Lepisosteus oculatus: one gene and its partner. The protein of the gene in region 2 purifies or fractionates together with the protein of the main gene of each other region. This does not show direct contact. Links are inferred from orthologs where the notes say so. Each region holds a gene or a part of one and is shown on either strand. Other genes may lie near its edges. The genes, in order: nudcd3 and klhl15.

Region 1 (12,378 bases), on a different chromosome or scaffold from region 2:
AGTGTTGACCACACTGGAAAACTGTTTTGGAAAGTCTAGTCCAAAGGGAAGACCTACTGGTCCACCAAGGTTTGACAAGTCAGATTCAACAGCAATTTACAGGAGAACTGGTGACAACTTGAGAAGTCATGTCTCTCACAGCTGCCTGCAGTTCATGTGCAGGAGTCACAAGGAGTCACTCTTGTGCCAAAAACTGGATAGAGCTGGATACAAACCCGGCACCATTAATGCACTCACTCACACATGTAATCAGAGGAGAATTAATTCGCTCTTGTATGTAGCTACCTGGTCATGTGAATGATGCAGACCTGAGGTGAACTAGTACAAAGATTAGTGTGCTACAGAAAACAGAGCAATTTCATAAGAGAGTTAATTTTCAACTGCTGGAAACGTGTTTCAAAAACCTCCAGCTCTCTGTGAAAAGAGCTAAGCCCTAACTCTTCTTCATTTCCACATGTCTTCCCTGATTATGTCCCTGCAAGACAATGACTGTATAAATATAAATATTCTAAATAAACTGCCAGTATGTCAGTAATGACACATAAGGCGATTGTTTTTTTTCTTTATAATCCTGACAAACCACTACAGGGGTAAATCAATTCCATTGTCTATTAAAACTGTGGTAATCACAATAAAAAGCACATCTTTACACAAAACGTGCCTGTGGAGTGTGGATCACTACATCACTATTTTAGGGCAAACTGGGATGAATACAAGTGAATCCTTCAAGTGGACAGATATCTGTGTGCGTTCTAAGTAGTTGTGACGTCAGTCTTCTTGCCACATTCTCAATTTCCCATTATCCTCCAAACCTTCCCACATTTTGCTGTGAATAATGATGATGAAAGAATGGATACATGGATGTGTCTGAAGGAATTACATTTTAACACAACAGGTCACAACAACTCAGATTGCACGTGGGCTCTTGGCCACAAGGAATGCAAGTAAGCCTGCAGACACGAGGCGTGAACAACAGCAGAGTACGCACCATCTCGTGGCTCTGTGGCTTGCCCTGCAGCTTCTGATGGTAGTCAAAGGTGAGACGGTCGAGGACGGCGTGCTCTTCCTCATCCACGGTGGCCATAGAGCGCTCACGGTTAATCTGGTTCACATCAATCTCCTCCTCTCCTTGCAGCACTGCTGACCACCAGTACTCTCCACATTTGCTGAGAGACAGCTGGAGAGAGAGATTGATAAGAGTGAGAGGGAGCTACAGCAATGTTCACTGCACTTACTGAAGTGAGAGGGGGAGTGAAGGAGAGAGAAAGAGAGAAGAAAGAGCAGTGCCAAGTATCTATCGGACTTGAATGCTGGGGCAGGAAGAGAAAAAGTAAGGAAAGTGTCACAGGGCAGGAGACCATCTATGTCTCTGTGTTACAGGGTGTTCCAGCAAACTGCAGCGTTTGAATGAACTACAGGAGTTACAGTGAGTTTCAAGACTGTGCACTGTACTATGATGAAGTGTCCATCTTACCAGCACACAGCTCCCAGGCTCCAGGCTCCATAGTGAATTCTCCGTGTTGATCTTGTGAGTGAGAGTTCCTTCCATCAGCACCGTCTCCACACCCATCTCCATCACAGAAACACGCAGGCTGTTTGGCTGTAGATTCACTGACACCTGGCCCCAGGAGAAATGAGGAGAGAGGAGGAAATAAAGACAAAGGATGTGTGTCAACCGTTTCAGGAAGACAACACTGTAAGAACTGTGGTGAAATGTTAAATATTAACTTTTTCTGTATAGGGCTCAGACATCAAAGTCCCCTTTGCCCTGTTGTCAGAAGTAACTGACATAGAAGCAACCAAAATCAAACAAGACATGAATGTTTGAACCTCAGTCAGTATCAAAAATAATCTTACTGTTTTTACTGGATAGGAGCTCACTCATGTTTTTCTATCCATTTTCTAATCACTTTTTCTCATATAGGGTCATGGGGAAGCTAAAATTCTATCCTGGCAAGAAATGGGTGCAAGGTAGGATACACTCTGGATTGGAAGCCAGTCTACTGCAGGACACACACACACACACCAGCGTCAATTTTCCCAGAAGCCAATTAACCTAATCAGTATGTCTTTGGAATGTGGGAGGAAATTTGGTAATTTGTGGCCTCCAGACAAACAAAGTACGTGTAACACAAACCACATACAGTTTTGCACAATGAGCTTAGACTGAGAAAAAATGTAAAATGTGACTAAACAAATCGTCAAAACTAAAATTATAAAAATGTGTTAAATTCCTCTTTTAAAAATGTGTTAAATTTGTGATACTGATTCTGCTACCAAGTTACTGTTGACCTCCAATATCGTAGTTGCTCCTATCGTCAAAAATGGGTTCCTAAAAAGATTTAAAACAAGCATAAGAACACAAGATTACAAACATTCAACCCATCTAACCTTTCTGGTTGCTAATTGTTAAAGTATTCTTTCACTTTCATCATCAAACCTTCTTTTCACTGCAAGCTGAGGATGTTCCACAAATTCTCAGACTTTACAGGGACATTAATCCATGACAGTAGGGGCTCCAAATATGATTCAGCAGTATCCATCTGGAAAGTACTCTGGGGTATATGATCAAGCCTGGCTGGCAGGCAATACTGTGAAGCGTGATTACAAGAATCAAGAAATCGTCATCAGGTTCATGATCGCTGGGTCAGGCAGACAAGGATCCTGTATCCACTGCAGGAAGTTTAACCCTGGGTAACTCTAGAACTTACTCCATGGTTTCTGCCTGTACCATCCACTTACTCAACATTCAAGAACTTCAGTCCTATGTCTGAAAAAAAAATATTCTTCAAAAGAATTGTTATAATAAAATTAAAATTGTATTTCTTATTTGTTAAGGATTTTCTGTTTTATCACTCCTATGCTTTCATGAAAACATTCATTATTAATTTGCTCAAAATACCTACTTGGTAAAAGGTTTTAGGTGGTAACAGAGGGATGAAATTAGGCATTATGGTACAGTCCAGTCCAACTCTGACAGCACTGATCTAGCAGTGGTTTTAGCGAGCAACAGCAGGATTATGTCATTGGCGTAAAAGGGGTATTCTGTTTTGGTGTCCTGAAAAACGTTCAGTCAGCATACTGTTCCAGCAACATGGCTACCTCATTAATAATTATGTTAAAAACACTAAATAAATCCAGAACTACCTGCATCTCTGTGTGCCTCTCTTTCTTTTTATTGTCTCATTACTTCTCCTTTCCTCCACCTCTTCTTCTGAGTGACATACTGCCATCTCTTTCAGTGTACCCCTATAAACCCTAATACTTCTGTCAGTGTACTCCTCTCTCTCTTGAGTATTGAAATGTCCCTTGATTTTAGGTTTTACCTGCGTCTGCCTCTTTTATTTAGCCTACCTGCTTGCCCTTGCGAATGGTGCTGGGAACGTGCACTTTGACCTCCACATCAGTGTAGTCCTGTGACCAGGTGTAGTTCTGTCTCACTGCTCCATTGTAACTATCAGGATTGCCCTGGAACTGCTCCTGTACCCTGCACATAAAACACACAATACAGGATGGTTGTCACACTGCTACAACCAAAACAACAAACTCAAAAATATAACAGGCTAACTACAACTACACACAGGCAAATAAGTGGGCACACATACCAGAGATGAGACTGAAAAGTGGTTCTCTCTAAGACACTTCAAAATTGTACTTTTAAAAGTAACTGAGGAAACACAAGAGATTTTTTTTTGTGTGCAATCTTTTTGTGGACTGTGGAGTGCTGGATAGATGCATACACGAGTGACTAAAGCTATCAGAGTGACAAAGATGCCATAAAGACTGACAAAGATGCCTGCAGGAGCATGACTTGGGAAACTGTGAAATCCACACTGATGATTGTGTGAGCTTTCATCTCCAGCTGTGTTGCAGCCAGTCTAACAAATAATGCAGTCTGACGGCTTTTGTCATGATGCAAAAAAGCCCCAGGCCAAATATTATTAATATTGGATTTCATGCTAGACTTTAAACGGCATACACCAAATTCCCCACTATTTCAATTTCTTTGCTCTCCCCATCCAAGCAAAAATTATGACACCCTCAATGCACCAAACCTTTGCTTCTTATTATAACACATTTGTGCAGAGTAAACGTCCTCTGTGGGGGATAAGAAGTGCCCACACTCACTTCTCTGTGTCATCTGTCTCTGCAATGGGCATGGCCTGAGCTCCTTCTGTTGGTGGGATGTTGTCAGCAGAGGCTGGGTCTGGGCAGGGGGGTTGGACTTGCTCTTGTAAGGGGGGTGAGGGCTGTGTTGACACTTCCTTCTCTGGAACTGGCACTGGCACCTGGACCTCTGCCTCAGACTGTACCACCACCTCCTCCACAGCAGGGGGAGCCTCTTTCCTTCCCTTGTTCTCTGCCTCCTGCAAGCTCTGCTCTCTGTCCTGCGCTGCCAGGCGCTCAAACACCTTGAATGTCTGGGCAGAGAAATGACAGAGAAGAGAGGAATGCTGAGACACTTCAGGTATTTGGGGAGGCAACACAAAGGAAAATATTTGGATTTGAGATTAATGCTGCAGCAAGTCTCATTTCTTATTGGTATCTTGCCGATGTAATACAGCGAATCATCTAAGTACACATCCCTATCACAAAAGTGTTCATCACAACCTTTTGCCGTGTCAGATGGCCCTAAACACAAACTATAACAAATCTGGAAATCTCCAAAAAGGATTTTCAGAGGCATGCTTGGTTAACCAGATGTCTTCATCACCTCTTTCCCCTCAAGCACACTCTTACGTATATTTCACTTTACATTTCAAGGGGCAAACTCCATACCTTCAAGCAGAATTGCAGGGGGGGGCGATTACTGGCAGATATGTGGTGGTATTGATTAACATGTGAAAACAAGTCTGACAGACAACTACTTAAACATACAGGTAACGCAAATTGTTATGTCAAGTATATATTTTGCATTGCCAGTGACTGTTGGTGGAGATAGCATTTAATGACTAAATTTGGCCCAAGTACAACAGCAAATGCATTTTTTAACGATCTAGTGTTTTCTGCTCCACATAAAAGACAAATAAATAGGGGGCTGTAGCACAACACACGTTTTGATTTGTTGGAATTCATTATTAAACCAGAATTTTATTGAGATTCTATTTTATCTGGGAGAAACGCTGCAGAATACCACCAGGTAGACAACTCGTGGGCATTAGGAGCTTCCATCATGCGCTCTGTTTCTGTGGATGTTAGAAATTGAGCCCACGGACCCTGAAACCAGGAGTTATAAATGTACCTCTATAGGGCATTAATACAAAACACTATGGTTATGAATGTATATAAGAATACGCTTGTAGGGACAAAACTGCTTTTAAACGACGACAATATAAAAAAAAAACTCTCTAAATGCCATATAGTGTTAACATAAACAAAAGTTAACCGAAACATATTTTATTGAAAGATTTCCAGATACATTTGTATCATTTTAGTTAATTAAAACACGAAATTATGCGTCTCACAGACTGTCCCAAATCACCGTCGTTTTCTTCCAAGCCTTTCGAGAAATGGATTAAACCGCTTAAAACCACCAAAACGCGAATTTTCCGGGTTAACAAATAGACAAAGCAAAAGGCAATTAAAAAATGTAAACTCTTAAGAAACTGTTGTCTGAAATCCTTCACTAGGTAACTGTACTTTCAAACAACACAGACTAGAGCCAGCTGTACACCGAGATAATCTTAGAACATAAACAATGAAACACACCAGGTAAGTTTCTTTCCAAAATCTGCGCAGAGTGGTGCTCTCATACATAACTACAATAAGTCTTTTTGATGGAACACCGAAAGCTCCAGAGAAGTCGCTCCTATTTTATGCACTTATCCCATAGTTTAACAACTTTTTTTTTATTTGTATCGTTTTTAAAAATTTACTTTCACCTTACCTTAAGCACCATTTTCTCGGCGACCCCAGGAGGAAAACCCATGCGATCGCTGGGGCTCGTTAACAGCCTGTAGAAATCTGTCTTTCGATAGAGAAACCCGAAATAAACCTGTAGAAAATTCTGTATGTTTCCGACGTGCTGCAGTATCCCCAGCAGAGCATTGTCGTACAGCTCAGTCATCTCCAGTTGGGAAGACATTGTGTAAACAACCGAAGTAACACACACGACGCAAATAAAAAGCACTTGTACTGCACACTTATGGTAGGTGTTTACTACGATATTTTCAAAATATCCCTTCTGACGCACTGCTCTGTCTATACGGTTTACGGTTTCGCCTGCTTCTTGTTGACTCGCGTTTTACAGTCCGTGTGGAAACGCAAAACAACGAAGTTGCCCTGCCCGATTGCCTCTTATAATTTTACGCTCACCCAACAAAAAATGTCAGCACTTTTTAAAAAGGAATGAAGGCATTGTAACATTCAAAAATTCATCACCGAGAAATACTTAAACGCGTCTCTAACGTAATTTTAAGTTACAAATGAACATAACTGAAACTTAACATTTTCGTATGCTTAACTATTACATTCACATTTATGAAGAAATTAAGTTATATTATTAAGTTATAATTAATTTATAATGTATCCTTTAACAATAATTAAACATTTTTAAAATACTGTCAGAATAAATTATTGCCTCGGAAAAGAACATTCTAGGTATGTATGGAAACAACTCCACGGACTCATTTAATCAGAACACCACTCGTACAATAAAAAGTAAATATGGAAATTATACTTGGTAATTAATAAAAAGAAACAGTATAAAATGTATTTATGCATTTGATTATTTTTGTATCTGAATACATATATTATATTTACAGCAAATTATAGAGATAAAATATTTCTTTTTTTATAGCCACTTTGCTCCCAGAAATCAGTGCGTGTTTCAAGATGGCGACGTCCTTCTGTAGTCGATCTGTGAAGCTGTTGGTAAGAAAGCCTTTAGAAATCTTTCAAGTAGTCGTGTAGATCTAGTTAATTAATTAAAACAGTGGTACAGAACCCTAAACGAAAAACAATTACGTGTAATATAATGAGGAAATATGTTGGCTTTTCAGATATTAGGTGATATCTACTGCTGGATCTTGTAAACTGTGTTATTGCTTGTGTACACTGAATGACACGTTTAATTGGGCAGATTCTGAAAGGATTTGCAAATGATTTAATCAATAAAATAGTCCAGGCTTTCTAAATTAAAATCTGTGTAACTGTAATTGAGGGATTTGTATTTGCGTTGTACAGCATGATGGACGATATATAATCCATCACATTTGACAGGAGTGTTTTACAATTATTGAGTGGAAAAAAGCTTTAGATTAAACGTTTTTATCTTGTGGTAATACACTGCAGATGGCAAAAGTCTCGATGACATATTTCGCTTCTTGAAAATAAACCTTTAATTCAGTATAAAGGCAATAGCATTAAGTAAACACACTACGTAGAAGATGGTAGTTCTGTAGTTCTAAATAGTAGTGTTCTGTGGTAATTGGTCATTTATGGCAGACAGTAGTTTGTAGGCATTTTTACATAAATCCCTTTAAACATATTTTACACTGGCAGGACTTTTTGTCACTGGGAACCAAACATATTGGTTGCACATTAATCTTTATCGCTGATCGTGCTTCAGTACCAGTCCCTGATAATTGAGTAACTTTACAAGAAACATTTTAATGTGACAATGTAAGAAGCAATACATAATTTGCCAAGCAGTCGATATACAAAGACTTGGCTCAGTGTACACCTCAGTAATTTATTTGACTTCCCGTTAATCATGAATTAAATATAGACAGAGACTCGTTGTAAAGTGTTACCTATAATACAAAAGTATCTGCTGGGAGTGTGAAACAGACAGTCATTTTCACTTCCCTCTTCATTGGCTGATAGGCAGTGTGTCCTCTTTTTCTCTCTCTCTGCCCCCACAGATCCCACTGGCCCAGGCCAACAGTGCAGTTCGATGTGTTCCCGGAACACGAGCAATTCAGACCACTGCAGTGTGCTTCAAGGTAAGAGGTTCCAGTAGTCCCATTGAATTTATTACTAGTAACTGTAGCCACAGTACTAATTGTACTAATAAACGTTAAAGCAATCATGTATTAAAACTTACACCAGTTGGAATAGCAATAATATTTGTTCAAAAATGTGCTAGATTCGCTGAACTGTTTGTATCTTTGTCATATAATGAGAAGATTAATTTGGCTAGTAAAAGTGTATAACAGCCACAGGTGGCAAATTTTACAATATGCCTTGGTGTTAAGTCCTCTAGATTTGGTTACATCGACATGGTCAGTGCAGAGTAATGTTAGTGTGATTCTAGATGACCTCAAATGGCTTTCATTTAACCGTGCTTGAGATAAACAAAAAATTAACCTGATTAAACTTCTCTCTCTCAATGTACAACGGAGTAAGGCTGCACCCTAGTGGTCAGCAGGCAGATATGGCAGCAGGGGTGTTTTTTAGCTCATGTGTAAAGTCCTGTTTTCAGAGAGGGAGTTCAGCATTAACTGAAAGCTGTCTTATGGTATTTCTCATCTCCTGATTTCTCCTCTGCCTGTTTCCAGAATCGTGCAGCACGAGTGCGAGTTGGGAAGGGTGACAATCCGGTGACGTACGAGCAGGCCCTGGCCCCTCACTATATTGCCCACCGCAAGGGCTGGCTGTCCCAGCACACCAGTGAGTGTTTCCACTGGGTTTGCAGATCCATACTCAGACTTGCCCATTGCATAATTCAGCCATCTTTGTTTGGAGCCAAGTTTTCTTTTTGACATTTATTCATCGTCTCCTCATGTATATTTTTTAGCTGTCATTCTCCACAATGTCCCATTGCTGTCCCACTCCTGTGGTCAAGTTAAAGCACTCATTGTTGTTCCCCAGGTAACCTGGATGGGGTAGGGGGCGCCGCTGAGCGCACCATTGAGGACGTCTTCGTGCGGCGATTCATCTCTGGAACTTTCCACGGCTGCCTGGCGAATGAGCTCATCATCAAGCGCCGCGGCAACCTGCTGGTGATCTGCGCCCTGCTGCTGCAGAAGCTCCCACCTCACAAGTGCTATTTCCTGATTGGCTACACAGAGACACTGCTCTCCCATTTTTGTAAGTGCCCTGTCAAGATGGAGGTGCAGACCCTCCAGCAAAAGGCTGTGTATAAATACCTCTGAACAGGGAAGCCAGTTATAAACGTCTCAGAGCTCTGTTGTCTGCCTCATGACCTGTACTCAGTATGCCTCAAGCGTTTAAACAGTGAGCAAGGACAGGAGGCAGCCTACCTTCATTGGGGGGGGAAAAAAAAGAAGCTCTCCACATGTGCATCAAGAGGAATGTATTAGTTGAAACCATGCATATACTTTACATAAACACATTTGTGTATATAATGAAAATAGCTGAAAGAAATATATTCTGCATTAGCCTTATTAGTGTACTCAGTTTAAAATGGTTTGTAAGAAATCGGAGGTCAGCGTGTGCTGAAGTGGTATCCATATGTGTGCAGGGCCGACTGAGTGTACAGAACACTCTATAGGGGAGTGAGAAACTGAAATGTGGACTGTAAAATTCTTGAGATGCACAGATATTGTGCATTGTTTTAATTACATTTGGAGTATCTGCAACATGCTTAGCATATGAACAGCCTCTGTGGATGAACATGTAGCTAAACAGACCGGTGTTTGGATTCTAAAAAACACCACTTCTTGTTTTTGTCATTTTTCTGTCACGCAATGACGACACACGGCAGTGTCTGTTCCCAGAAAGCTTTTTATTTTCAGAGAAGAAATGAAAAACCCAGTGAGGGGCAATTGCTCCAAAAACAGAGCGAGATGTGGTGGGGCAGACAGGAGGAGAGAGGGGAGGGGTCTCAGACTCAAACTGGGAGGCTTTTCTGCCTGCCCGTGTCATTTCTTACTCATCATGAGTTCTCCTTTAATAGGGTTATTTCCTCAGATTTGACAAAACACATATTCCACTTGCAGGGCCTAGATGTTTCCAGTTCCAGTTGGTTCCCAAACCCTTCATTCCAGGTGCAGGACCTAGATGTTGCTGGGCCTAGATAAAAGTATTACAATTTCCCAAATAATGAAAAGGAGAGCTCAGAACAAAAGAGACACTGCCCCCTCCCCCCCAATCACCACCAGCTTAATTTTAGAGCCCTGGTTTAGGGGATGAACAATGGGGAATGTTTGGACAGGACATTTAGTAAGAGAAAGCACAGCTGTGCTGGTAAAATGAGCCTTACATCCATTCCAGTGCAGCTCTCCGGTGCAACCCCCTCCTTAAAATGATCAATAGATGAACAAAGAAATAAGGAGCTTGTGCCAAATCATCCACTGGGTTGGACTGCAAGTTGGCTGTTTGATTTCTTCTGAACTGCAAAATGGAAGGGGAAGAGGAAGAGGAAGAGACGGCTGCCGTTCACGCCAGCAGCTGCAAGGAGTTGATGTGCACGTGATACAGGAAGTCGGGGTACGACGCCCCGCCGTTGGGGCTCTTGTCCTCCACCAGCAGGTGCCGGAGAGCCTCCTCACTGTGGTCTCCCTGCTTCACCACCTGCAGCTGGACACACAAACAGGCCTGGTAGCAAAAACACTGCTTATTTGACTGGTGGCAAACAAGATGTCTTGCCATCATTTGGTTTGCGTGTGTCGGTAGATACACGGATGATGCCAGTGTAGGTGTAATCAAGGATGTGGCACTGAGAGTACCATCGTGGCACCCACCTTTAGGGTGAAGGCTGTGCATGACCTCAGGGTTTCGATTACTGCCCTCACGCGCAGGGACAAGGGGTTGTCCAGGGTGGGCAGGCAGCACTGCAGAAGAGACAAGACCGGGTTTCACTACAAATTCCAAATCGAGGAAATGTTTCTTTAAAGCGGGCGGCGGTGTCGGCTCCTGACCTCTCCGCAGGGCAGCTGGCTGAAGGAGCTGGCGTTGAAGAGTTGGGAGAGGACAGACAGCGGGACGTGCTCCCCCACCCAGAGCAGCAGGGCTAGGGAGCTGTGGGCCAGGTACAGCCCCCGTGAGTCCAGACTGCTCCCTGAGCAACGCACTGCTGCTGCAGGGGCACCATCGCCAACAGACTGCTCACACAGGGGCTGGGCACAGGGAGAGAATCGCTGTTTCAGAGAGAGTGGGGCACAGGGAGAGACAGATGCAGACAGACACCAGTCGTCAGTCAAGAGGACCTGCTGCAGGGGTGTTCTGTCCTGGTACGTGACAGCTGCAGTCTCCCCAAGTCACTAGCACCATACGAATTTCTGTTAAATTGGCCCAATTAAGCCAGTAATTAGTAGAAATGGGCACCTAATGGCCAAGTAGGAATGCAAAATTGCAGGATTAGACACCCTTTCCTGTTGTCTTGGTTGCTATTAGAACTTATGACCAGGTTTTTGCAGCTTCATGCAGGTGTACAGAATTCACCAGTGGTGTCTGAACCCTGAGATGAAAGAAGGAATTGTTCTGGATGTAGATGCACATTGGTCCAGTTTTCTGGATTCTTTCAAAGAAGTACCATCCATTGTCCATAACCGTCAGTCCATTGGAGGCACACACACGGGGAACAATTTAGCCATACTGTGTCTTTGTATCGAGGGAGGAAACCCTCATGGCCAAGGAGAGACCATGCACGCTCCACACAGAGGGCCCACGCCTTCATTTGCAGGTGGCCCCCGGTGTGGCAAGTCTCACCAGTGGGAGGAGCTCAGGATAGAAGTAAGCGGCAGTGTGGGCCGGGTCCATGGCGACCAGTTGGCCACGCAGCTGCAGTCGTTGTGGCACGGAGCTGCGCTGTCCGGGCAACAAGACCTCACTCTTGCGCAGACTGTTCACATAGACTGGGAGGGCCTTCAGACACTGGGGCAGCACCAGCTAACACACACACACACGAAAGGACAGGATGAATAGGTGCACAGCATTAAGACGCACACTATATGCAAGCAGTTGCTCTGTCTCTCTGGCCGTGCCCCCCTCTCCCACCTGTCCATGTGTGAGTGCAGTGGAGGAGCAGTGCTGCCGGTAGCAGGCCAGGGCCTCTGTAAGCTCAGTGACCAGTTCGTCTCTCACAGCCTGGAGAGGCCTGTCCAGCACGGCGCAGTAAGCTTGCGGACAGATACACAGATCAGCCTAGGAGAGTACTCTTAGACATGCAGTACACAGGCACACTGATCAGAGCTGCATTAAAGCAACAGTAAAGGGGTAAAATGACTGCAATGAGAACATCTAGGGGGAAAAATATTCAAGGAATAAAATCGAAGAGAAAGAAAAACATGTCAAAATGGCAGAAAAGAGAAACACAAATGACCAATACAGAAAGGGAGACTGAGAAACCAGACTGCACCTCTCTTGCAGTAGAAGCTCAGCAGTGTCTCGGCCTGGCTGTTGCGGAATGTGTCCACTAGGTGGCGGGAGCAGCGCAGGCCCAGGCTGTGGACCCTGGTCCTCCTCTCTCCC
Region 2 (12,447 bases):
TTTTGCTGGAACCTCAGCACTCATTTAAACAATTAAGTTAATGTTCTTAAAATGGAAACAAAGAGGATTTATCTGAAGGTCTCTTCTAGCTGATGACTGGGGAAAAATGCACATTCGCAGAAGCACCGTTACCTAACTGCACTTCAGAACTCCTTCAGAGCCATGCTGAAGTATTGACAACTATGCTGTTAGCTGAATCATTAGACCGGCTTTATAACGGAGCTCAGATGGAACAAAAGGCTCTCCCAGAGGGTGGCGGCGGCGGCGGGGGCGTCTCTACCGATGAGCCGGGGCTCCGAAATGAAGTCGCGGATGGGCACGGGGATCTTCTTCACGATGTATTCGCACACCACCTCGATGTTGTACTTCAGCTGGGCGGAGATGGGGATGATGGGGGCTCCTTCCGCAACCGTGCCTGGGAAAGGAAACGGCACGTCCAGTCAGGGCGGTCAACGCGAAGGAAACCAAGCTGGCTGCGAGCGAGAATCGACGCCGCGCGCGAAGCGGCTGTCCCCGCGTGACTGCGCGGGCTACTAAAACTCACGTTTAGACAACCCCTGGACAAAACAAACTGACAGGGAGTTAATCAATCAGTCCAGCAGATCAGTTCAGCTCACTAGCATGTGAATCAATCTGTCTCTAAATTATCACCAAATGTTGTTTTTATTCTGAAAGGCTTAATGCAGAAAACGGTCTTGGGACATTAGAGGAATACATCCAGACTCAGCGGCCTTGTGTAGGGTGATCTGAAGACGGCAGGTTCAACCTAAAGAACTATGACTCAGTTTGCAGAGGCACAGATAAGACGCGTGTCCCGATTCGGGGGGCCGGAGGCCAGTCCTTACCCTGCACAAACGCCAGGATCTGCTCATACTGCTCCTTGGCCTGGCTCTCTTTCACCAGGTCGATCTTGTTCTGCAGGATCAGGATGTGTTTCAGCTTCATGATCTCAATGGCAGCCAGGTGCTCAGAAGTCTGGGGCTGAGGGCACGACTCATTGCCAGCTGGGAGGGAGAAGGAGGGGGGGGGGGGAGGACGTAAAATAATAGCCCGATGGTGGATTTAGCAACATTCATTTCTTCTTACCATTACAAAATATCTTTAATAACAATGCAGTCACCAGTAAGACGGAAAACGTCCTGAAAGCCAAATACTGCCTAGCAGTGGTTCTCTGTCCTGGTTCAAGGGGACCTTATGTCCACTGAACTTGAACTTGAGCTTTATTGCCATATGTAACCGGTACAATGGAATTCATACTGACAGGAAGTCTCTCGATTGTTAAAACAAGCGCAAAAACAAAGTGCAGACAGCGCATCAAGACAATAGACAAACAGTAGACAATGTACAAGTAAACAAGTGAACAGTTTGAGTGTAAACAAAGACTGGAGATGTGCAATAAATAAATAAGAAATCATAATGAGGTAGATGGTACAGGTGTGGTCCGAGGGGCATGAAAAAATATGGAACACTTCACGAACTTGCGTGTCATCCTTGCGCAGGGGCCATGCTAATCTTCTCTGTATTGTTCCAATTTTAGTATATGTGCTGCCGCCGAAGCAAGCAGTCCACCTGCACGCTTAATCACTAGGGCTAAGGGGTGCCTGAAACCGGTCTTTTTCCTGCACAGTGTTTTATATATCATGAAGCATGGAATACCTTAAAGCACAGAAGACTATTTCCAGCAACTTCTACACACAGAGCTTTATGCTCTCTCCTCAATTTGCTAAGGGAGCAACTTCTTAATTATTTCTCACTAAACCGCTCGTAACTGGAGATGATGCACAGACACAGGTGACAAAGACCCTGTAACAGACATCTCCCACAGGGAGTCAGTGTCTTTTCTCCTGGGTAGTTTCAGCTCACACACCTGAATAAGAGTAGCCCCAAAAGTCACTAATCAGCACAGGGTTCAAACAAAAGTGAGCCCAGGTGATTAATGGCCCAGCTGTTACAAACCCCAGCAGGGGTAGGTACTCCAGGACCCAGACTGAGGACCACAGCTGTACAGAAGACAGGATGGAGGGAAACGTTACCTATCAAGAGCAGAGCGGCGTCCATCACAGCAGCCCCGTTCAGCATGGTGGCCATGAGAATGTCGTGGCCGGGACAGTCCACGAAGGACACATGCCTGCCGGGGGGAGGGACACCAAGTTCAGCCATGCTGGGACACCACGAACAAAGCAAGAGCTATAAAAAAACCTCATCACGCTGAATCCAGGCAGTCTACTGCACTGCGTGCAAAAAGGAGATAACCTTAAACCCTGCAAGAGTCTCCAGAAAAATAACACACACCAGCCAAGTAAACTGATAACACTATATGCAACGGCAGTGTGTGAGAGGAAGCTGGAGACAAATGAGATCAAGGTTACAGCAGTGGATGAAAACCACCTGGATTTGTACTCTCCTGTACAGGCAAAGCAAAGAGGACTGTTCTGCGGTAAGATCAATACAGCTGTGTTGCTCCCAGGCTGGCCTGCCCGTCACTGACCTGACCAGTTTGAAGTTGCCCTTCGTCCCTGGGATATCTGTGGGAAACTCGTCTGGAGTGCTGCTGCCACATGACCGGTAGCACTCAGGCCTGGGGCAGTTGGGGTCGTCTAGCTTGTAAACCTGAGAGGATGAAATGAAAATGTCTCACTTTCACACTGAAGTACGCCTCTGTAAAGAACTGCTCTGGGACTATAATCGTGCCACGCCATGCTATAATTTTAAAAGTTTGAAGGACTTTGAGAAGGAGCTTATTACGGTAAAATACAACATAAAAAAAACGTACATTTCAACGGGAAAAAAAAGAATCGCAGCTCGTTTTTTAAAAAAGAATGTCAAGTCTTTTTCAGACATTCAGACGATCACAACACCCCTTCCGCTGCCCAACATGACAAAACAAACAGACTAAAATAACTGCATGTTTGAAAAGTACTAGGAAAGGACTGGGATTCCCAGTCTCCCTCCCAGTCCTGGAGTAACGCTCTGTCTGTTACTTTTTGTTCCAATGGACACTTAATCCCAATCTGCTTACTTGCGCAGGCTTTTTGCTATACAGCCAGGCCGGAATTTTAAAAATGCCTGTCTCTTCCGGATTTTGCCCAAGCTCAGTAAGCTTTTTTTAAATATGCTTTCAGGTCTTAAAATGCTGGATGAAACTTGGAATTGGTATTAACCTTGTCCTAATTAGCGACTTTCAGGACAGCCCCTCATTCAGGTGCGTAAGCTCATATATAACCAATTGGGCATTAATAACTTTATCTATATAGCACCTTCCAGACCTTAAAATGTAGGTCACAGTGCTTTATGGAAACATAAAATGATAAAACTTAGAGGACACATCACACAAATGGTAAATATAAAGCAATTATGACAATCCCTACAATAGCAAGAGCAAATACAAAAAAAATAAAGAGACAAGCCAAAATACTGACTCTGTGACACTGTGGGAGATAAGGAGAGACGGCATCAAGTTCTGTGCGCTGACGAGGTAAGACATTTGGATGAGCTGGAGTACTTGTGAAGCCAAGGACTAAGTGCAGGAAAGTCTAAACCAACAAACACCAGTTGCAAGCACTACTTAACACTAGCGTGAAAGGGGTTCAGGTAGAGAGCCGCATGAGCCCGCGTGTGTTAAGGGTCATTCAATGCTGAACTCAAGGTTGCGAGTGTTTCAAGGCCATGAGGGAACAAGAGCCAGCAGATACTGGGGTACCATGAGACAGGGGCTCAGAACCACCGTGTTAGGCCATCCACCATCACAATTAGCCGTCACACACCGCTCTCACCTTTGCATTTGCGTAGCCAAGCTTGATGGTGATATTCCTCTCCAGCTCGTTCTTGAACCTGACAGTGTGAACGCCCGAGATCGCTTTCACAACTGTCGACTTCCCATGGGCTACATGACCGATTGTACCTAAAGAGGAGAGCACAGGTCAGGCCCCCCTAATCAATGCCACCCAATAACCCACGTGATGTAGAAATCATAGGTCTTGCCCAACCAACTTGTTAGATTACAAGTGATCAAACAATAAAAGTAATAGATACACACAGGGCAAATAAGGCACTGCCCTGAGATTTTCAGAAGGCTTCCGATAACGTTCCTCCTAACCTAATTCTCAAATGCAGGCAGCAGACATTCAGGGAAATGAATCTGGATTGAGAAGTGGTTATTAAATAGAAACACAGGGCATGAAACAGAGGTGAACAGTCTAAGCTGAAGTGATGTAATCAGTTGGGGGTACCGCCAGGGTCTGTACTAGGACCAGTGCTCTTTGGACTTTATATAAATGATCTATAAAGTTAATAAACTAATAGAGTTTGCAGATGATACCAAACAAGTATATACAGTTAAAACTGAAGAACTTAATTCCAGGAATGTTCTATTAAAACAACTAAAAAAGATTCATTTAGAATACTGTGTAAACATTTGGCTATGATATATGAAAATACTGCTACTCTGGAGTCAGTCCAGAAAAGAGCAAGCAGAATCTGCTGAGGCTCAAGGGAAACTCCTATACTGACATACTGAAAGAACTGAAACCTTTTTCATGACAGAACCTATTACAAGTAATCAAAAGCCACAAAAGGCACTGACCAATTAATAATAACATTATTAATTAATTGCCAACTAGAAAGCAGGCCTGTAATGTGCACCTGTTGGTGCTTATTATTACAACCTACAGCGTGTTAGGGTTTCATCTACCTGGACAGATCCAGTCACTTACCAATGTTAATTGTGGCTTGCCTACTGATGATTTCTGGCGAGAGGGGAGTTAGCTTACCCACATTCTGTAAAAGGGAGAGATGATTAAACCGTCTGTCAACACAGAGACAGTCATTTCAAAAAGAACGACAAAAAATAAATGACTTGCTGGCTTCTGGACAGCGGATGACTTGGGTTTTATAGACAGTGAGGGGAACACAGTAGGTGACACAGCTTGTGAACAGACAAACCCCTTTCTATCCTTCTAAAGAGACGGGGATCAGCCCGTCTGTTTTGTTGTTGGCACATTATTTAAATCAACGATAACTTCTGCTCCGCAGACGATGAGAAGACGGGCGGTTAGGACTCTACGGATTTGGGTCTCTGGCGTACACGTCTGCGAAAACAAACGCCGAAAAGGACACTATTGTTAAACTACCCCCTGTTCTCTGAACACCAACGGAGTGATCGACACCGGTCGAGCGTGGCATCCGTGCTTTTTCACACGGAGTTTAAAATCCCAAAACAACGGACCGCACGACGTTAATCTTTTTTTTTTCTGTTTTACTGATGCCCACACCCAACCCACGCCGTCTCCGAGCTGCCGTAGGGTCCTGACTGCACCGCTCTCGTGTGCGGCTCCGCGACGCCGGGTCTGCTCCGGCCCCGGACACCAGCCCCTCGGCCACCCAACCTCCCCCCGCCCCGCTCTCGTCGGGGCTATCCCGGGACGGTCAAGACGGCCGGCGCCCGGCTCCCATTCACAAAAAGGCTGGCACTCACCAGAGTATTGAGATCTTGCCTGGAAAGATGAGGCTGCCCCAGCGTTACTCCTGACTCGTCGCCCGCCATCTTGAACGAAAAGGGAAATGTTGTAGTCCGAGGCGTTTGCCTGACTTCCTGTTTTTATGGAGGAGTCCTTAAGTCCCCTACTTAAAAAAATAGGCAAAATGTCTTGGGTTTCCTTCACTCCGAGGTTAAATGCGAATCAACCGGCGCTCTTTTTCAGGTTTGTAGGATATGATGATTAAAGCAGTTTTATTGCAAAGGGAGCGCGGGTCCTTCGGTTGAGGGGTGATGCAATATTCTCAGTACGTCACGGAATACGTCACTCCGTATGGTTGTGGACTGATGGCAGTAGAACAGTTCTGTGCATAAAAAATGAGAAACCAAACAAGGCACACAAAGTCGGAAAAAAAAGTAATCTGGCGTAAATATACAAAACCACCTTTTAAATATGTAGCGAATCGTGCATTTGTTGTGTCACGTTGTTAGTTGTGTTGAAATCATTGGACTCGGTAGTACGTTACTGGAAATTGCTTCCATGTTTTTTCTAAGGCAATACAGCTGCAGAGGGACAGCGGGACACTGCCACACACACACACACAAAGGGCGGGAAAAGAGGAAAAGCTCGGTGACTATGACTCAGTCCTGTATTGTGCTAAATTGCTTTTTATCCCAGGGCATTACCCTGCAACCCAGGTGGCCTGGCCACTACCTGGATGGGAGACCTGGAAAAGCCAAGGTTGCTGCTGGAAGATGTGTTAGTGGGGCCAGCAGGGGGCGCTCACCCTGCGGTCTGTGTGGGTCCTAATGCTCAAGTATAGTGATGGGGGACGCTATACTAAAAATAAAGGCACCTTAATTCAGATGAGACCTAAAACCGAGGTGCTGACTCTCCGTGGTCACTTAGAATCCCAGGGTGTTACCCTGGTGTCCTGGCCAAACCTTTCACAATCATGGCCTCTTCACTGAACTGGCTTCATCACTCTGTTCTCCCCACTGAGAGCTGGTGTGTGGGGAGTGGACTGGCAAACTCTGGCTGCCGGCACACTATCCAGGTGGGGCTGCATACCGGTGGTGGTGAGTCCCCATGACCTGTTAAGAACTGCAAGTGGAGTGTCCAGAAAAGCTCCATAGAAGTGTAAGAAATTACTATTCATTACGAAACTGCTTTTTATTAAATAAAACCCTTATTTTATCATACTTACACTGTAAAACAATGTAAAGTCGTAGAATCTCGCAAAGCCAGGGTACCCATACGTTTTGATATACTTTGCGCCCACAGAACGCCGCACTGGGACCCGAGACCCCACGACTGAGGCGACGAGACTCTGGCCAGCCCCGCCGCAGGAAATGACGTCAGTGCAGTCGAGAACATGGCGTCTGTGTTGGCCATGAAAGACGGAGGTAAACACTGTCGGGATATCCACTGAAAATAATGCGCTTTGCCAAAAAGGCGAAGAACGACAAAGGAGTCGCTGGCCATGCGTGTTTAAAACCCGGTCCCTTGTTTTCGGATACACAGCTTTAATCCATGTCAGAAGGAGCCCGATCTCTCTGGTCGAAGAGGGGTTGTGTGGAGTCGCATCGCCGAGGTAGGAGCCGATAGATTCTGTCTTGCATTTCCCCCAGCGTGTCGGCAGTGCTAGAAGAAGCTTGTCCACCTGCAGCACACATACACGGGAGTGCCCTTATTTACACCTGGCCTGCTGAATTGGGTTCGGCACCTTGAGATGGGACACCGAGAGGAGACACGATTGTCGGTAATTCGGAAAGCCCGATACCGGCGCCCAGGCATGGGCTGTGCGATTCTGTACGTAAACTTTGCTACACAATGAGGTTTCCCAGCCCGCGATGGGATCGTCCCAGCCTCCCCGTGATGTTAATGGAAGAGATCGTGAATTGACAGTTGCAAAAAACAAAACGCTCAAAATGGAGCCATTACAATAAGACTTGGAAAGAGGATGTTGTGGCTTTTTAACAGATTGAATTATCCTCTTTTCAACATGTTATACAGCAGAACTGCACCCCGAGTGAATGTTTGAAGTACGAGCTTTGCGCATCGTAACGTGGTGTGACTTTAAGGCCAGCATCCTGCTGCAACATGAATCGGAAACTGAACTATTTTAAAGAAAAACAAAAGCCTTCTCAAGTGCGAGGTGAAAACGAGGCTGCGCTTATGCGTATGTGTTATCGTGCTAAATGTAGCGTTGCATGTTCTTTGCAAATCAGTCTCTGTGTCACAGTGTAGTGGCATGTTGGTGATGTTTTTTTCTCTCTGAAAAGGGGCTGTTATCGCCCTCGCTGGAGACTGAAGTGCTCTCTCTTTATTCACAGAGCAGGGAAAGCACAAGCAGAGAAAATGTGAGCTTCCCCACATTACACAGTCTGCAAACCCCACGTTTGGCCTGGATGTACCGAAGAGGTAGTATTTCAGTCTCCCTACTGCTGAGAGTCTGGCCTTCTCTGAGGCTGCTGGACTGTTCTCACCTGTGCCATTGTGAACACATTCAAGTCTGTAGCAACTAAGGCCCATTCTCATCTTCTTTAAGTAGCTGCGGTTCTTGATTTTTTTCCTGTCATTTTCAAATAGCTTACAAATGAGTGTTTTTTTGCGTGTGGTTAACAACGTAAAGCTATGAAGTATCATGCTGCATAACCTGGGACACCAGAGTTATTTCATTTTGCTGCTGCAGGCATAATAATAATAATAAACTATTTTATATAGTACCTTTAAAGGTACTATATACCTTCTCAAAGTGCTTTACAGAAAGACAACAACAATACAAAAATCCACAAGATATACACAATGAGAGGAGACAGTAGATGGGGGTACTGGATACAGCAGGAGCAGAGGGGTGAAGAACAGAACCAGTGAAGTAAAGGCCCTTCTGAAGAAGAAGGGTTTGAGTCTGGATTTGAAGGAGTTTAGAGGAGGTGACTCTCTGATATCCTTGGGGAGAGAGTTAACAGGAGCAGGCCCTGTCACCAATAGAGTATTGACAGGAAGTACCGGAACCTGAAATTTGAAAACAAGGTTATTCTGTAGTAAGGTGTGTATGTTTTGGAAATACACGCTCTCATCAATATTACCATATTTGAATTGAATAAACACTTATTCACCCCGTTAGCTGTAATTAGAGATTGCTAATGAATTGACTAACATAAAGGCGCACAGTCTAATGACTTTCAGCTCTAAGCTTCCTTTCCCCCCTTATCTTACAGAGCTGTGTGCTCGGGTCTCTCCACATCAGAACAGACTCCCCCACCTCCGCTCCCTGCTGGGCCGGGATTAAAAATGTAAAAATGACCAGAAAAAATCAAATGTGCATTTTACTCGCACAGCAGTGATGATTTAGCTTAACCAGCATGCATTAACCATTGCTTCTGGTGTTAATACTGGATTGGACAGGCTGATTAAAGTCATCTTGTTGCCCAGCTATTTCAGCACTGCCGGTAGGGACAGTAGAGATCCAGACCTTTTTCTTTTTCCGTTTTGTTGCTGTTATGGCCCAGGTAGTAAACTTGCTTCTGATGTTGTCCGAGTAAAGCCCGGTCAGCTGTCCTGAAGCCCAGGCTGCGCGGACAGCGTCGTCTCTGCCCTCGCCCCCGGTCCTGATTGCTGTCGCTGCCTGTCCGCCCGCCCCGCAGGTCATTAATGGCAGCGGACGTGGAAGTGTTCATCTCCTGCGACCACGACAGCAGCGTGTCGTCGGGCTTCCGGGCGCTGTACGAGGAGCGGCTTCTGCTGGACGTCACGCTGCTCATCGAGGAGCACCACTTCCAGGCGCACAAGGCCCTGCTGGCCACGCAGAGCGACTACTTCCGCATCATGTTCACGGCCGACATGCGGGAACGCGACCAGGACAAGATCCACCTGAAGGGGCTGACGGCCACGGGCTTCAGCCACGTGCTGCAGTTCATGTACTACGGCAAGCTGGAGCTGAGCATGCTGACCGTGCACGAGATCCTGCAGGCCGCCATGTACGTGCAGCTGACGGAGGTGGTGGAGTTCTGCTGCTCCTTCCTGCTGGCCAAGATCTGCCTGGACAACTGCGCCGAGGTCATGCGGCTCCTGGACGACTTCGGCGTCAACATCGACGGCGTGCAGGAGCAGCTGGACGCCTTCCTGCTGGAGAACTTCGTGCCGCTCATGTCCCGGCCGGACTTCCTGTCCTACCTGAGCTTCGAGAAGCTCGCGCTGTACCTGGACAGCGACCGGCTGAGCCGCTTCCCCGAGATCGAGCTCTACGAGGCGGTGCAGGCCTGGCTGCGGCACGACCGCCGCCGCTGGCGCCACACCGACTCCGTCATCCAGAACGTGCGCTTCTGTCTGATGACGCCCTCCCACGTGTTCGAGAAGGTAGGACCGCCTTGTCGCCTTTTACTGCATCTCGCGCCGCAACAGTAAATCCCCGAAGCATCATGCACTGCTGTGGCTATACAATCTGCTGCAGCACCCTGTCATGCCAAAGAGCAGAGCACAAAATATCAGTGATGGTTACAGCGTTCTGGGCCTTTGCATTTGTTGTCGATGAAGTCAACTTTGATTCAAGAAGCCTGTTTTTCCTTTTTTGGGTAGCTGGGAGCCCTGCAGCACGATGCTTGTGGTTAACTGAGAGAGCAGCGATCCTTCTGCCATGGGACTCTGGCTCCTGTCAAGCTCAGTGCCAGTGGGCCGTATCAGCTCTGCTGGATAAATGAAGCAAGAGGGTTATTTATTCTCAGGCAGTAGCTTTTTTTTTTACTCATTTACATTTTCCCTTTTCTTCCCCCCCCTTGTCGCGAGAGGCATTGGTCTCCAACTCCCATGAGGACTGTAGCCTCACTTCCTGCCGTCCTGTCCACCGAAGTGCTGGACGTCATTTGTCCTTTGCGCCCTTTGTAGGTTGAAGATCTGTGGGCCGCATTTGTCCCAAATGATCTCGGCCCTCAGTAAGCATTTGTTGCCTACAATCTAAACTACCTTTCCTGCCCCCGGGCTTGATGCATTTCAGTCTTGACAGGTTTCAGATTCAGCACCTCTTAATGTTATGGTAGCAATATCTGTTTTTATTTAAATGTAAGTATGATTGCTTGAGTTTGAAATACCCAGTACCTGTCCATTGGGTTATTTATTGGCCGGGACTTCAGAAAAGAAACCCAGAGTAGGTTAAACTGCTGCACAGTGGGTTTCTCTATCCAGTTTCATGTTATTTCTTCTCTAGCAGACCTTATGATTAATGGTGTCTACAGCGCTTTCCTAAGGAATGAAGTTGCACGGAAAGTATTTTTTCAGTATTTAAGCAGAAGGGATGGACAGGCTGTCAGCATAGTCATCTCTTTAAAAAAAAAAAAACATCTCCGAATGAAATAGGGAATGTTTCGTTGCAGGAAATGGTTGAAAGATTAGTTTTTTTTACAAAAAATCTGTTGCGGTTAAATTGAGATTACCCTTTCCTTTTAACCAAAAACGTGGGATGAAATCCAAAGTATTTTGTTTCCTGGGGGAATATTTCTCCGTGACTGCTGGACAAGCACTGATCGCTGGTGTGTAAGTGCTACCTTGTCCCGCCCTTTGACCTCTTGGCGAGGCCCCCCCCCCCCCACTCACGCGTCCTCTGTCCTCGCGCAGGTGAAGACCTCCGAGTTTTACCGCTACTCCCGGCAGCTCAGGCACGAGGTGGAGCAGGCGCTCAACTACTTCCACGGCGTGAACGAGCAGCCCCTGCTGGAGATGAAGTCCAACCGCATCCGCTCGGTGCGGCCGCAGACCGCGGTGTTCCGCGGGATGATCGGGCACAGCATGGTCAACAGCAAGATCCTGCTGCTGCACAAGCCCAAGGTGTGGTGGGAGCTGGAGGGGCCCCAGGTGCCGCTGCGCCCCGACTGCCTGGCCATCGTCAACAACTTCGTGTTCCTGCTGGGCGGGGAGGAGCTGGGGCCGGACGGCGAGTTCCACGCCTCTTCCAAGGTGTTCCGCTACGACCCGCGGCAGAACTCCTGGCTGCGCATGGCCGACATGTCGGTGCCGCGCTCCGAGTTCGCGGTGGGCGTGATCGGGAAGTACATCTACGCCGTGGCGGGCCGCACGCGGGACGAGACCTTCTACTCCACGGAGCGCTACGACATCGTGGAGGACAAGTGGGAGTTCGTGGACCCCTACCCCGTCAACAAGTACGGCCACGAGGGCACCGTGCTCAACGGCAAGCTCTATATCACTGGCGGCATCACGTCCTCCTCCACCTCCAAGCAGGTGTGCGTGTTCGACCCCAGCAAGGAGGGCCTGACAGAGCACCGCACGCGCCGCACCCAGGTCGTCACCAACTGCTGGGAGAACAAGTCCAAGATGAACTACGCACGCTGCTTCCACAAGATGATCTCCTACAACGGGAAGCTGTACGTCTTCGGCGGGGTGTGCGTCATCCTCCGCGCCTCCTTCGAGTCGCAGGGCTGCCCGTCCACGGAGGTGTACGACCCCGAGACGGACGAGTGGACCATCCTGGCCTCCATGCCCATCGGCAGGAGCGGGCACGGCGTGGCCGTGCTGGATAAGCAGATCATGGTGCTGGGGGGGCTGTGCTACAACGGGCACTACAGCGACTCCATCCTGACCTTTGACCCCGAGGAGAACAAGTGGAAGGAGGACGAGTACCCCAGGATGCCTTGCAAGTTGGACGGCTTGCAGGTGTGCAGTCTGCACTTCCCCGAGTACGTACTGGAACACGTGCGACGCTGCAGCTGAGGAGCGGATGTCCGCTTCCTGCTGTTTGTGTCCGGGACCCCCTTGTATTTTAAAACCCAGCCGTTGGAATTCCCCCCCCCCCCCACCCCAAGAAAACTAAAATCCAACCTCCCCCAAAATGAAAATCTCAATCCTTGATGAGGTTTTTAACAATAGGTCAGTACTTACTACAATATTCAGGGAAACTAACTTTCCTGATTCTCTGTTAATTGTTCTGAGGTAGGAGTGGGGTTGGTCAGAGGAAGGTGAG

What was found.
Region 1: the proteins of klhl15 (region 2) and nudcd3 purify together in Homo sapiens (co-immunoprecipitation; 3 studies listed by BioGRID and IntAct, with this or other methods). This does not show direct contact. The link is inferred for Lepisosteus oculatus from reciprocal best matches to the Homo sapiens genes KLHL15 and NUDCD3.

The regions. Positions count from the first base shown.
Region 1 is NC_090697.1:69,160,359-69,172,736, reverse strand, and holds the start of nudcd3 (nudC domain-containing protein 3), read right to left. Parts: upstream 6,086-12,378; coding exon 5,888-6,085; intron 4,422-5,887; coding exon 4,129-4,421; intron 3,488-4,128; coding exon 3,355-3,487; intron 1,619-3,354; coding exon 1,475-1,618; intron 1,178-1,474; coding exon 989-1,177; intron 1-988. Other genes in the region: mrps24 (small ribosomal subunit protein uS3m), read left to right, coding at 6,835-6,873, 7,866-7,946, 8,502-8,613, 8,815-9,098; protein transport protein Sec24C, read right to left, coding at 10,345-10,485, 10,650-10,739, 10,827-11,024, 11,617-11,796, 11,905-12,026, 12,266-12,378.
Region 2 is NC_090700.1:4,340,231-4,352,677, forward strand, and holds the start of klhl15 (kelch-like protein 15), read left to right. Parts: upstream 1-6,787; 5' UTR 6,788-7,007; coding exon of another isoform or gene 7,008-7,068; 5' UTR 7,069-7,577; coding exon 7,578-7,656; intron 7,657-7,810; coding exon 7,811-7,898; intron 7,899-8,989; exon of another isoform or gene 8,990-9,124; coding exon 9,125-9,836; intron 9,837-11,087; coding exon 11,088-12,197; 3' UTR 12,198-12,447. Other genes in the region: eif2s3 (eukaryotic translation initiation factor 2 subunit 3), read right to left, coding at 281-415, 846-1,004, 2,034-2,128, 2,489-2,610, 3,774-3,901, 4,713-4,776, 5,474-5,542. UniProt on the Homo sapiens protein: Substrate-specific adapter for CUL3 E3 ubiquitin-protein ligase complex.